Caenorhabditis elegans: one gene and its partner. The protein of the gene in region 1 interacts with the protein of each later gene in a biochemical or structural test. Each region holds a gene or a part of one and is shown on either strand. Other genes may lie near its edges. The genes, in order: mua-6 and ifp-1.

Evidence for each region.
Region 2: the proteins of mua-6 (region 1) and ifp-1 form a complex in vitro, tested with the Caenorhabditis elegans proteins (one study listed by BioGRID).

The regions. Positions count from the first base shown.
Region 1 is NC_003284.9:16,261,658-16,267,486, reverse strand, and holds mua-6 (Intermediate filament protein ifa-2), read left to right. Parts: upstream 1-1,800; 5' UTR 1,801-1,805; coding exon 1,806-2,281; intron 2,282-2,502; coding exon 2,503-2,689; intron 2,690-2,744; coding exon 2,745-3,497; intron 3,498-3,675; coding exon 3,676-3,837; intron 3,838-4,781; coding exon 4,782-4,898; intron 4,899-4,955; coding exon 4,956-5,006; 3' UTR 5,007-5,198; downstream 5,199-5,829. Other genes in the region: Serine/threonine-protein kinase sgk-1, read left to right, coding at 5,436-5,457. UniProt on the Caenorhabditis elegans protein: Cytoplasmic intermediate filaments provide mechanical strength to cells. Essential protein, involved in attachment structures in epidermal cells that connect muscles to the external cuticle.
Region 2 is NC_003284.9:9,675,075-9,681,783, reverse strand, and holds ifp-1 (Intermediate filament protein ifp-1), read left to right. Parts: upstream 1-1,614; 5' UTR 1,615-1,617; coding exon 1,618-1,728; intron 1,729-1,794; coding exon 1,795-1,908; intron 1,909-2,382; coding exon 2,383-2,667; intron 2,668-3,155; coding exon 3,156-3,533; intron 3,534-3,578; coding exon 3,579-3,743; intron 3,744-3,790; coding exon 3,791-4,670; intron 4,671-4,958; coding exon 4,959-5,029; intron 5,030-5,078; coding exon 5,079-5,231; intron 5,232-5,429; coding exon 5,430-5,537; intron 5,538-5,626; coding exon 5,627-5,692; 3' UTR 5,693-5,911; downstream 5,912-6,709. UniProt on the Caenorhabditis elegans protein: Cytoplasmic intermediate filaments provide mechanical strength to cells. Not essential protein.

The DNA of each region.
Region 1 (5,829 bases):
CTTGCTCGGATAACAATACGAGAAATTTCCCCATCTTAGTTAATTTTTTCTTCTTATTTTCAAGCCGAAATTGTACGGAACCGTAATTTTTTATTTATTTCATGCAGTATTTTGCCATGACTCAATTCAAATTTTCATCCATTCTTTGTCTTTCAGTTTATATTTTTTGATCTAACATTGAGCGCCATTTCATTATGACCTAAACTACTTCTTACTAATTTTTTATTCACTGATTTTCGACATCTAAATTTATATGTTTTAATATATTCTAATAAACAACAGTTAGTTGATTCAGTTGTAAAGGTGGAATAGCGCCAGTGGGGAATGTGTCAAAAACCACTCCTATGGTCTCAAAATAACCAAATACCATGATAAAACATTTCAAAAAAATTGGAAAACTTTTTATTTACTGTCAAAAAGTGACAATTGCTCAGTTTCTGCCACTCATAATTTTGGAAGTCGACCAAAAAAAATTTTTTTTTCTACATATTTTATAATGCAATTTTATTTAAATTATTCGTATTAAAACATTGTAGGGGTCGAAACATGCGACATTGCTTTGGGTTTCCTTAAAAGACTCATATTTTCAAAATTTTGGCAATTCTCCTCGTGGTTTTGGCCTATTATAAGTGTATTTAGGCAAAATCTCCATTTGCGCTACTTCACCTTAAAGTTTATTACAGTTATAGCTTGTGCTTATTGCCTACCTAGGAACAGTAGAAAATTAAAATTTTCTTTGTTTCTTCTCAAATTTTTTTCACTTTACGGAGAAAGAAGTAGTTAAATCATTTAAGGGAGCTGATTTCAAATTCTATTTATATTCCTTTTTTAATTAACGAAAACTAGAGCACAAATATTAAATAAGACTATTGGCTTTTAATTGTTTTGATTATTCAAAAATAACAACAAAAAAAACCAAAATTCATGTTGCAGCTAGATCGGTGTAAAAAAACTGTAGTTCTTTGACTAATTACTTTTTGAAACTAGTTTCTTCATTTTGAAACTAAGAACAAACATTTAAGAAAGTTTCCTTTGAAGTTTGCCGAAGTTCAATCACTAAAAATCTTTTTTGCTGTCTCTTCACATTTATCTAATCATTTTAATTCGAGGCAAGTGGGTGAATTCTGACATATCTATCACTTAATCTATCAATTAGTCACCTCGAATCGAATATTTGAATAGAATATGTAACAGTTAAACTTCACAATCTCTCAAGACGAATAATCATTAATCAAAACCACACCCAATCGTGTTTTAACTGACTCCTGACTCATCTGGACGACACCCTTTTCTGGTAGTAGAACAATAATTCACTTACGGGAACATGTCCATCTTCGTCACTTTTGCAATCACCAATGGAGGCGGGGATTGCGAATGGATAAGTGGTCAGGAAAGAGAGAGAGAAAAAAAACGATAAATTGGAGAAAACCGCTCCCTTCCATCATCTTCACTGCGCCGCCCATCTCCAGCCCCTCCCGATCCGCCACCTTCTTCGTGTACAAGAAATGTTGATGGGTTGGGAAGGAAGAGGTGAGGCAGTTTTTATGTCGCCCTCCACCTCCCCTCCCAGTTTTCAATTTCTCGATTTACTTATGTAGGTGTGGTTAGTTATATTCTCAAGAGGGTGTGTCTCGGGTTTTGTCATTTTTCTCACATTGTCCCTGAATTGCTATATTTTTTTGTTTCTAAGTTTTCATAAAACAATTCAAATTAGACAATCTGATTGTTTCAACTTCTCTCTATTTTCTTGCTCCCCAATATATTATAACATAGATTTTTCTAACAATTTAAAATTTTCAGACATAATGACCGATCCAGATTCCTACCGCAGCTCCATCACCTCTCGCCCATCATTCAACCGCACTGTTACCAGCAGTAGTCAAAACTATGGAGCACCAGGATCAGGGAATCGTGTGCTGAAGATTGTCACCGAAACTCACTCTTCCTCAGTTTCAAGTGGACTCTCCCCATACGGACAGAATGCTGCGTCCACCATCCGAGACAACCGTGAGCGTGAAAAGAAAGAAATCATGGAGCTCAATGATCGTTTGGCTAGCTACATTGAGAAGGTCAGATTCCTTGATGCTCAGAACAGAAAGTTGGATGCCGATCTGAAGATGCTCCAAGGAAGATTTGGAAAAAGTACCGGATCTGTGAAAGTTATGTATGAGATGGAGATCACCACTGCCACCAATGTTGTCAAGCAGACAGGAAAGGATCACGGAGAGACTGAAAAGGAGATTCGTAAGCTTCAGGATCAACTCGACGAGTTGCGAAAGAAGTGAGTTTAATTGAGATGAGAAACCATAGTAAATATGAAAACCGTAATGATTCGTTTATATTGATAATCTGCTAAATCTGGATCCTATTCTGGAGAGTTTGAGCAATTCTAGCCATTGCTCCAGTATCACTCCGTTAAGAAGTTGAAACTTTGTATATCCTATACCATTAATACCGGTCCCGTTTATATCTAACAAAATTCACATTGAATATTATTTTCAGGTTTGAAGAGGCCCAAAGAGGGCGTGCTGAAGATCGTTTGAAGATTGATGATCTTTTGGTTACCCTTTCCAACCTCGAAGCCGAGATCAACCTTCTCAAGAGACGCATCGCCCTCCTTGAGGAAGAAGTTGCTCGCCTGAAAAAGGAAAACTTCCGGCTCACATCTGAACTCCAACGTGTTCGCATTGTGAGTGACTAAATCATGAAGTATTCGGAAAAAAAGATACAATTTTTAATTTCAGGAGCTCGACCAGGAAACCCTTCTTCGTATCGACAACCAAAACAAGGTGAAGACTATTCTGGAGGAGATTGACTTCATGAAGAGAGGATTTGAGACTGAGCTCAAGGAGCTTCAGGCTCAAGCTGCTCGTGACACCACTAGTGAAAACCGCGAGTACTTCAAGAATGAACTCGCTAATGCTATGCGTGACATTCGTGCCGAGTATGACCAGATCATGAATGGAAACCGTAATGACATGGAATCCTGGTACCAGTTGAGAGTTCAAGAGATCAATACTCAATCCAACCGCCAAAACGCGGAGAACAACTATCAGAAAGAGGAGGTGAAGAGACTCCGCAATCAAACTTCCGAGCTCCGCCAAAAGCTTTCTGATTTGGAATCAAGGAATCTTCTTCTTGAGAAACAAATCGAAGATCTCAACTACCAGCTCGAGGATGACCAAAGATCCTACGAAGCTGCCCTCAATGACAAGGATGCACAAATCCGCAAGCTCCGTGAAGAATGCCAAGCTCTCATGGTCGAGCTCCAGATGCTCCTTGACACTAAACAAACCCTTGATGGGGAGCTCAAGGTTTACAGACAAATGTTGGAAGGTAATTCTGAAGGAAATGGGCTTCGGCAACTTGTCGAGAAGGTCGTCCGCACATCTGCAATCAATGAAGAGGCTGACACCGAAACGATGCGCGTAGTCAAAGGAGAACACTCCAGCAGAACATCTTATCAACGTTCAGCTAAAGGAAATGTGGCGATCAAGGTGAGGGATTTATTTTCAAGTTTTTTGAAAATTGCTTTTTCGCTAAAATAAAGCTTTGACGTTCAAAAATTTAAAACTTCCAATGGCCATTGACTGTAGTCACTAATAATATCATTCCGACATAAAAATAATCAATTTATCACTTAGTACATACTCAATAATGATAATTTCTTTTCAGGAAACCTCCCCAGAAGGCAAATTTGTCATTTTGGAAAACACACACAGAGCCAAAGAAGAGCCACTCGGAGACTGGAAGCTTAAGAGAAAGATCGACGGAAAACGCGAGATCGTCTTCACCTTCCCATCCGACTACATCCTCCACCCATTCCAATCTGTCAAGGTTTGCGAATTTCTACTTCTTTCAGAAACAAGCCTAGCTACCCAGGACCTGTCGCGTATAAAACATTTCAAATTGGTGTCTCAGAATGAAATGTGTTGTTGTCTCTGTGTGTGTGTGTCGAATTGATAATCTAATGCGCGATTGCGTTTGGGTGTGGCAAGGTCATCCGTCCGTAATGACTAAAGGGGGGGTAACTTTGCTTCGAAAAAGAAAGATTGGGGATGTATGTAGGAGAAAAAGAAGGAATAAAAAGTGATAAACAAATTGATGGAAACTGTGAAGACAAACGTTGTTCACAGAAATCAATAAAAGGGACAGATGAGATGTGAGATTATTTAGGTCAGCTTTGAAAAAAAATGTTTTCAAATAAGGTTTGAATAAGAAATGAATTTGAAAGAAGCAATTATTTATTTAAAAGGTGGAGTAGCGCCAGTGGGGATTTTGTCTAAATGCACTTATAATGATCCAAAACAACCGAATATCATAATAAAACACTCCAAAATTTTTTTTAGATTTTTCATAATTTCCGGTCAAAGTTTTGGCAAATTCCCAAAAAATTTTAAAATACTAGCTTTTGAGGAAATTCAAAGAAATGTCGCATGTTTCGACCCCTACAATGTTTTAATACAAACAAAATTAAAACATAAAAAATGTCGAAAAAAAATTTTTTTTTTGATCGACTTCCAAAATTATGAGTGGCAAAAACTGAGTAATTGCCACTTTTTGACAGTAAATAAAAAATTTAAAAATTTTTTTTGAAAAGTTTTATCAAGATGTTTGGTCATTTTTGGACCAAAGGAGTGGTTTTTAACAATTTCCCGACTGGCGCTACTCCACCTTCAATCAATTTCATACAAAACATTTTTCATAAAAAAAAAAGAAATTCAAGTGAGGTGTTTTAACATTAAAAAAACCACTGTAAAGACAAATTTCTACATTTCCAGATCTTCGCCCGCGGACAAGGAATCGCCAATCCTCCAGAAGTGCTCATTTTCGAAGGTGACGAAACATTCGGTGTTGGCGCCAACGTTCAAACAATCCTTTACAACAATAAGGGAGAGGTAATTCAACCCCCAAAAATTTACGTGCAGAATAAAATGTTATTTTTTTCTTTGCAGGAGCGCGCGACACACATCCAACGTCAAAGCCAACAAACGACATCTTCCTAAATCTAGCTTTTTGCTTGAGCTATTTACTGTTTTCTTCTCTTTGTACCAGAAATCTGAACCCCAACTCTTTGCTGCCTGCCTGTTTGCATTTTTTCCGTTTGCTATATACTTTTTCACTTTTTTGTTTCTTTTTCCTCCGGTAACTTACTCATTTTCAACAATAAATACTTTATACAGATCAAAAAATTGCCATATGGAATGTTCATTTTTCATTTGAAACATTGATAGGAAAAGTAAGGTGGGGAAATATTAAAGGTGATAACGTGATCAAGAGCAAATAAGAAAGTCAGACGAATGGCTCGGTGAGCCGTGATAAGAAGACAAGGTCCAACCCAGCGATTCTAATCAGTTAACACGAGACAAGATACATCGAAAACCCACATTCGACCTGGTGGCGGTTATTCTAAATACGAGAGCATTACTGTGACAATGGGCAGCATGTATTATAATGGTGAGTCAAAGATTAAACCTGGCTGGTTCTGTGAAATGTTTGTATTTGTTTTAAGAAATTCAAAATCTGAAATGTCTTAAAAGTCTCAATTTTTTTAAATGGCTGATAAAATTTTGAAAACCTAGCTCTTCCAGATAAAACCTAGATTTCTGCCAACATGTCACAGTTGCGGCGGTCTGAAAACATTAGTTGATGGGTGCAAAAAATACTTCTTACTCCTGAAAACAACTTAATCAACGAAAAAAGTCATAACAATAAATATATTCATTAAAAATACATAGAAAAACAGAACATTCAATAAAATTTAATAAAAATCAATTTTGGGTAACTATGACAAACATAGGTTGACAAGTTAAAAATGTAGTTTTTTGT
Region 2 (6,709 bases), 6.6 Mb from region 1:
TTTAAGTGTTTTAACCCGGAACTCATCCTATTTTTAATTGTAAATATGTTATTTTTCACTTTCCTAACACGAACAATAAAAAAACATTTGTAAAACAATAAAAAAACATTGATCACACTGAACACAAAAAAATTTCCGACAATTGTTTAGGAGCAAACGACATTTACCCAAGAAATGTGCGTACCAACTGGAAAGGCATTTGTACTCGTTGAGGAATACTAATTTTGTTCTTTCTTCCAGGCGTGTTTTTGATCTCAGAGCTCGAAGAGTGATGATGAACAAAACGAAAACCGGAAAAGAAGCAAGTGGGCGTCATAGTTGTCGCACTTTTTGAATATATTCAATACAAGAATACAGTAAAGAAAAAAGAAAGAAACAGGGAATTTTTTCCTTGCTGATTCTTTTAATAGAGAAGTCCTGAGCAGTTCAAGGATTCCTTATCAGTTATTTTGCGTAAAGTAACTATGATTCACAAATTACCAATAGAAAATGCAGTTTTCACATTGGAAAAACAAAAAAACAAAAGCTATTGAACATTAAAAAATCGGTACTTGTGTGTTTTATGTATGCCCTCATTTAAAATTTAAATTGAGCTTTCATTAATTTCTCCTTTCAATATAAACGTGGTACGCATCATTCTTCGTTGGGCTTAGAAATGGCTATTTTCTAAGCTTAAAATTAAAAAATATTCCACACGTTTTTATTTTTTAGACTTATGGAAGTATCATTAAAAATAGAAACAAATTTGAAAAAGGAGCATTTTGAATTCGAGGAGCTAAAGCGGCATAACTGTTTTTTTTTTGCGTGCGAAAAAATTTTCATTAGCAAATTTTTTGTAAAATTTATTCTTTGGCCAATTATACGGCTGAATGTGAAGATGAATTTGTTTTTAATAAATATATGGTTTCTACATGAGTTCTCTCAATTAACCAGGTAAGTTGATTATGTTTAAAACAAATCGGAAATGGGCTGAATTGAAGCCCAGAGCTTCAATTCAATAGGTTGGAGAAATTACTGAGTTTCTAAATAAAAAGTATTTTAACAAATGACTCAGTTTCTCGAACTTCCTGAAATGTAAAAAACATTATCCTGTAAATTAATATTTGCAACTTGCAATGAATCATTTCCACCTCCTACAACAATTACACCATTGTTAGTACAGTTTGATTGCTCCACATCGGTGCATCAGTCTCTCCCCCTCATCTCCATAGACCACACAAATGTCTTCTCCCTCTTGATTCATCTATCTCTCGCTTCAAATAGCTCTTTATTTTAATAGTGATAAGAAACGTGCTAAAGTACCGCCAACCGAGTGAAACATGCTCACTAGCATTCTTCACCTACTTTACTATCACAATGGCATGCCATTAAACATTTTCCAAGAGTCGATTCGGTTTCCTGTCATCACGACTGTGAAAATTCGCGGTTTTCACTCGTGCTCGTACACCTATTGCATTTTTTAATTCACCTTTTCAAGTTTTGATAAGAAGTTTTACGCACTCGATTATTTTCTGCTTATTCTGCAATTTTTTGTCCTTTCAAGTCGCACTTTTATAATTTTTCATTTTGCTTTTAGAATTTTCTTGCTTTCTGGTCTTATGGTTACTGTTTCAGCGCATGGATTCCGCTAACGCTAGGGATTGTCTACTACATCTGGCAAGAGCTAAGCTCTCTGAGCGACAAGACCTTGTTCAGCTCAACGATCAGTTTGTGGATATCATCGAACATGTGAGTTTGTGTTATTGCCTATCATCTCTTCTATGTACTGTAAAACAAAATATTTAATATTTTCAGGTCCACTATATGGAAGCTGAGCACACTGCTTTGGAACACGACTACAATTTGCTAAAAAGTGGAGTCCAGAGCGACAGTAGTGGAATTAATGAAATTTACAATGTTGAGATCAGGGTGAGTGTCAATTGTTGCAGCTGTCTTATTCACGCTTCCAGCATTCTTGTTCTTTGTGCGCTATCAGTTTTCACTATTTACTTTCTGTGTGGGCTGAAACCATCAGTTTCCCTCACACAAGTTTTAGCGGCGATGAACTTGTTTACTCGTTAAAAGAAACGAAGCCTACAGTTTTAATGACTTAAAAGTACATTGAAGTTGTGCTCTTTCGTAGAGTACGATAATTTCCTTTGCTTGCGTGTCGCGTTAACTACAAACAATAATCTTTACGATCGTTTGTTTCCGAAGAATTCATTTCTTTAATTATCATTAGAGAATAAAGGGAGTGGCAACTAGAAACGTGCAAGCCGCCTACTATTGATAGCAAACATACTATCATTCTGGTCAGCTGTAAAAAATGAAACTTCTGATTAAAAACAATTTGAAGTATACAATTAATTCATACGATGTATCAATATTATCATTGTTTTTCAGACTGTCAGATCGGGAATTGAAGAAATTAACCGAAGCCGGCACGAACTACTAAATGAGCAAACCCAGTTGTCCCATCAAGTCAAAGAAGCCGAACAACTTTGGAGACACACTGCAAAATCAGCTTTGGGGGTTCCCAAAGAGGTTGATGATGAGTTCCATAGAATCTGTCATATCAAGATGGAAGATTGTATCACTAAGAGAAGAATCAAGTATATGGAGGATAAGCTCAGACTGATCAAACAGAACAATGGAAGAATTTTTGAGCATATTAATTTGATGAGAATGGTGGGTTCGATTTTTTAAAAGACTGTTAATACATGCAAAAACAATAGAGGTTCAATTTGATAGATTTGGAAAAAAAACTCATAAGAACTTTTCGGATATCAGTTTTTTGGGATAGATTTAAATCACACTGGTATTTTGATTGTTGAAATATATTCAGTAGGTACATATATAAATTTTTTTTTTCAAAAACTTATTTTTTTATTTTTTCGAAATGATTTGTTTTCATTTCGCCCAACACGGAAATAATGATTGTAATGCTAAATATAATTTTGAGCCAAAAACTATCTGTTAAAAAAAAAAAACATACAAAAAACTTAGCTGGCTCAAGTTTTCTGTTTTTCAGTTAGTAGCGTGAATGTCATGAAAGACTTGCACTGCCTCTCAAAAAACGCGAGGTTCCTTGTGATAAGCTAAATTTTTTGTCAACACAGTTAAGAAGTTTGACTCATTATCTTATTCATTATCGACTGTGAATTCTCTATATTCAGAGAAAAGATCAAGCTGTCAGTCTGCAACAAGAATATCTTCTTCGCAAGAATGAGTTGTTGCACAGTATCCGAAATATGGAGGAAGACAACAAAAAGATTATCATGAATGAGCACAAATACTTTGTTCGTGATCGCAATGCGGATCGTCACGTCTTCCGCGATCAACTTCGCAAGGCAATTGCTGATATTCGTGCTGATTATGAGGCTAACAGATTGAGAAACGAAGAAGAAATTCGAATTCGCTTGGAAAGGGAAATCCATCGAATGAATACCACTATGCCAGGAGTAGTTTGCTATGACAAACTGAGAGAGGAGCTTTCGATTGTTAAGAACAATCTTTCTGGATTGCAGAAACAAGTTTCTGAAGTTGAAATCAGAGTGAGAATTTGAAATTATTTTCCATGATGATTGTGTAATTTTCAGAACAATTCTCTCACTCAACAAATTGAATTCTATCGTCTGGAAATTTCGGAAAATAACAAGCTTTTCGAGGATACTTTGGAATTCAAAATAAAGGAAATTGAGAAGATGAGAGAGCAATGCACTGCCATCAGTGTTGAATTGGAGAAACTTTGTGACTTAAACATTGTATGTTGTATTATTTTGTGTGTTTATTAAATTGTTAACGTTTTCAGGACTTGCAAAAGGAAATCGCAAAATATCGGGAACTTCTCGACAGATCTGGAGATCCTCGTGCAAATGCGCCAAGTACTCAAGTTATAGCAAGCGCGCTTAGTCGACAGAACTACAGCAGCATTTCTGACCACCATAGCCGAACTTCTTCTGGAATAGTTCAGCACACTGCTCATCACGCTGTGAGAGATTCCTCGTCGTCCAGAACTGGTACCACTATTCATGAGACCATCACTCACACGCCAATTCCAATTCCTGCTACACTTCCTGTTCAACCAATTCGTGAATATACTTATTCGAGGGACGCGAGCCCGATTCGTCCATCATATACTCCGTACCAGCAGGAGTCTCGTGCTGATAGCCGATCTTCTCTCAGGGAGAGAATTCAAATCGAGACTCTCCAAGGCACACTTCCGGTTCTGCCAAGCCATTCGGTTGAAACAATTCGTGCTTCAGATAACACCCGATTAGTGAGAGACCTTAGCGCGGGAGGTCAGATTAACACAACACAGATTAACAATCCATACGCGTCTCGTACTCCAACTTCATCGGTCAATGATAGGATTGCAAGCGAACGTCGTGATAGTGAAATTCGTCGCAACGATGCTTTACATCAACCTTATCCAATTGGTGGTGCCGTTCCTCGAGTTGAGCCTACAATTTTTAATGAACGTGCTCCCGGTTACACTCATATTAATAGCAACTTCCCGCTAATTACGCCAGTGACTGAAGGAGCTACTGTCCCCTCATACTACGATACTTTTAATCGGAACTCGAGCCAAAGAGGGCCACATCATTCGAGCTATCATGCAGCAACAGGCTCAGTGAGCAATAGCATCTCCACTACTCTACTCAATGAAGGATCAATTGAACATAGCAGTAGTGAGTGGAAGACGGCTTTTAATATTGACTGACAACACCTCGTCAAATGCTAAGCTTTGAGACGTTTTTAAGCTGTCGAAAACTATCGTATCATACCATTTTAGTTTTTTCCAGATTAGTTTGAAAAAAGAGTTACTGATAAGACAAACGTACACAACCACCACAAACGAATCGTAAAATAACGTTTACGATTAAAAGTTTACTGTTACGTGTATTATGTAACGACAGTTGAGAGAACTATCACGCTAGAAAAATATTTATAAAAAAATACAAAGAAACGCATTCCAGGTTCCGATAGTGTTGACGAGGACAACTTCCAGAGATTCACTAGATGGTACAAGGGGAGAGTGAAGATTTCGGTAACACTCTTTGCTTTTTAATATTATTAGGACTGAACAATTCTTACAGGATGTGACTGCAGATTTTGTTCAACTTGTAAATAGAAGCTCGAAAAAATCGGCAGACGTTGGTGGCTTCAAACTTATTCACGAGTTTGGAAACAAGAGCGTATATGTTGATCTTCCAGTTGGATTGATCCTTGCACCCAAGGATAGCTTGAAGGTTATGCTTTTTCTAGTGTAGTTTATCAGTTCTTATATAATAGCATTCAGGATCCTAGAATTCACAAATTCAAGTTGATTTGCTTTGAAAACAGTGTTAACTTGTAGAAAAAAAAAATTGTTTTTTTTCAAACGGCGCAAAACTGAATACTACTTCTATGTCACCGATAAACTAGAAACTGTAAATTATTTTTTACAGATCTACGCTCGTGGAGCAACTCATGAAAGAGGAGCAGTTATTGCTGAAATTGACTTCTTCGATACCACCATCCATACCAATACATCAATCAGAAACACGAATAATGAGGTAAATAGTCTTTGATTTACAATTGTAAACACAACTGATTGACATCTGGCCTCTTGCCAATAACTTTGATTACTCCAATTATATTTCAGGTGAAATCGTGGTTTGTTTACACGAGCAACACTGAAATCGGAGATGCAGACCATCATCATCATTGATACATTACTAATGCCAAATTTCTGATAACATGATAATTCTAACAACAAATATATATTTTATTTTCTCTTGTTTTCATTTTTCACACTTTTTATCAAGAAACTTCTACTCGTTGCCCCTATTTTTTTCCACTCACTTCTTGAAAAAGGAAATAATTCTTTAATTCAATCCCAGTAATTCGTATTTCTTTCATATTCTGAATTTAAAATAAACCTATTACTCAAAAAAAGCTCACTTGCCCCGATTCAATTATAAACATCTGCTCTGTTTCGAAACTCTGCTAAATGTAATTTTTTTTTATTCAAAAATTAGAGATTAAAATCGAAATTATTTAAAGAGAAGAAGCAGTTTTCAGCTTTTGTTTTTTTTGAAAATCAGTTTTGATGGAAGTTTGAATTCTATTTTTTCTTCACAAAATTCCAGCGGTTTTTTTTTTCAAAAATAAACGGTTAAGCTACAGAGTATTTTCCACTAGTTCATCTGGCAATACACTTCAACTTCCAAGTAAAAATATTGCTTTCCCGTGCGGTCAATTATTGCTAAACCAATTTTATTCGTTGGACTGTTTTGAGTGACCCAAGAAAATAATGTTTTAAAAACTGTTCCAAGTACAAAAAAGTACCTCAGATGAGATAAAAGTTGATTATTATCATTTAAAAGTGAACCGTATCAAGTTTAAATTTAAAATGATTCACTCATTAATTAACGGGGGTGTTTGTGTGGGTTGAGTAAAGGCATAGACAACTCATATCATAACTCATTATCGGCGCGCCTGTCTTCCACTTACCCTCTTTTTCAAACATTGTCACCTAACCCGATCCTCTACCATTAGGATATTCACATCTGGCACTGCTAAGTGACCAATTCATATCCCTTTCCTCTTTTTTTCTTTGTTTTGGGCTCTGTTTCTCTTTCTTCCATCTCCATTGGATACATGTTTTCAAATTCTTCGCCACATTTTTTTATTTTCATCTACCACTTTTCCACACTCTCTTATTTTCCTTTTCGGGCTCATTTCT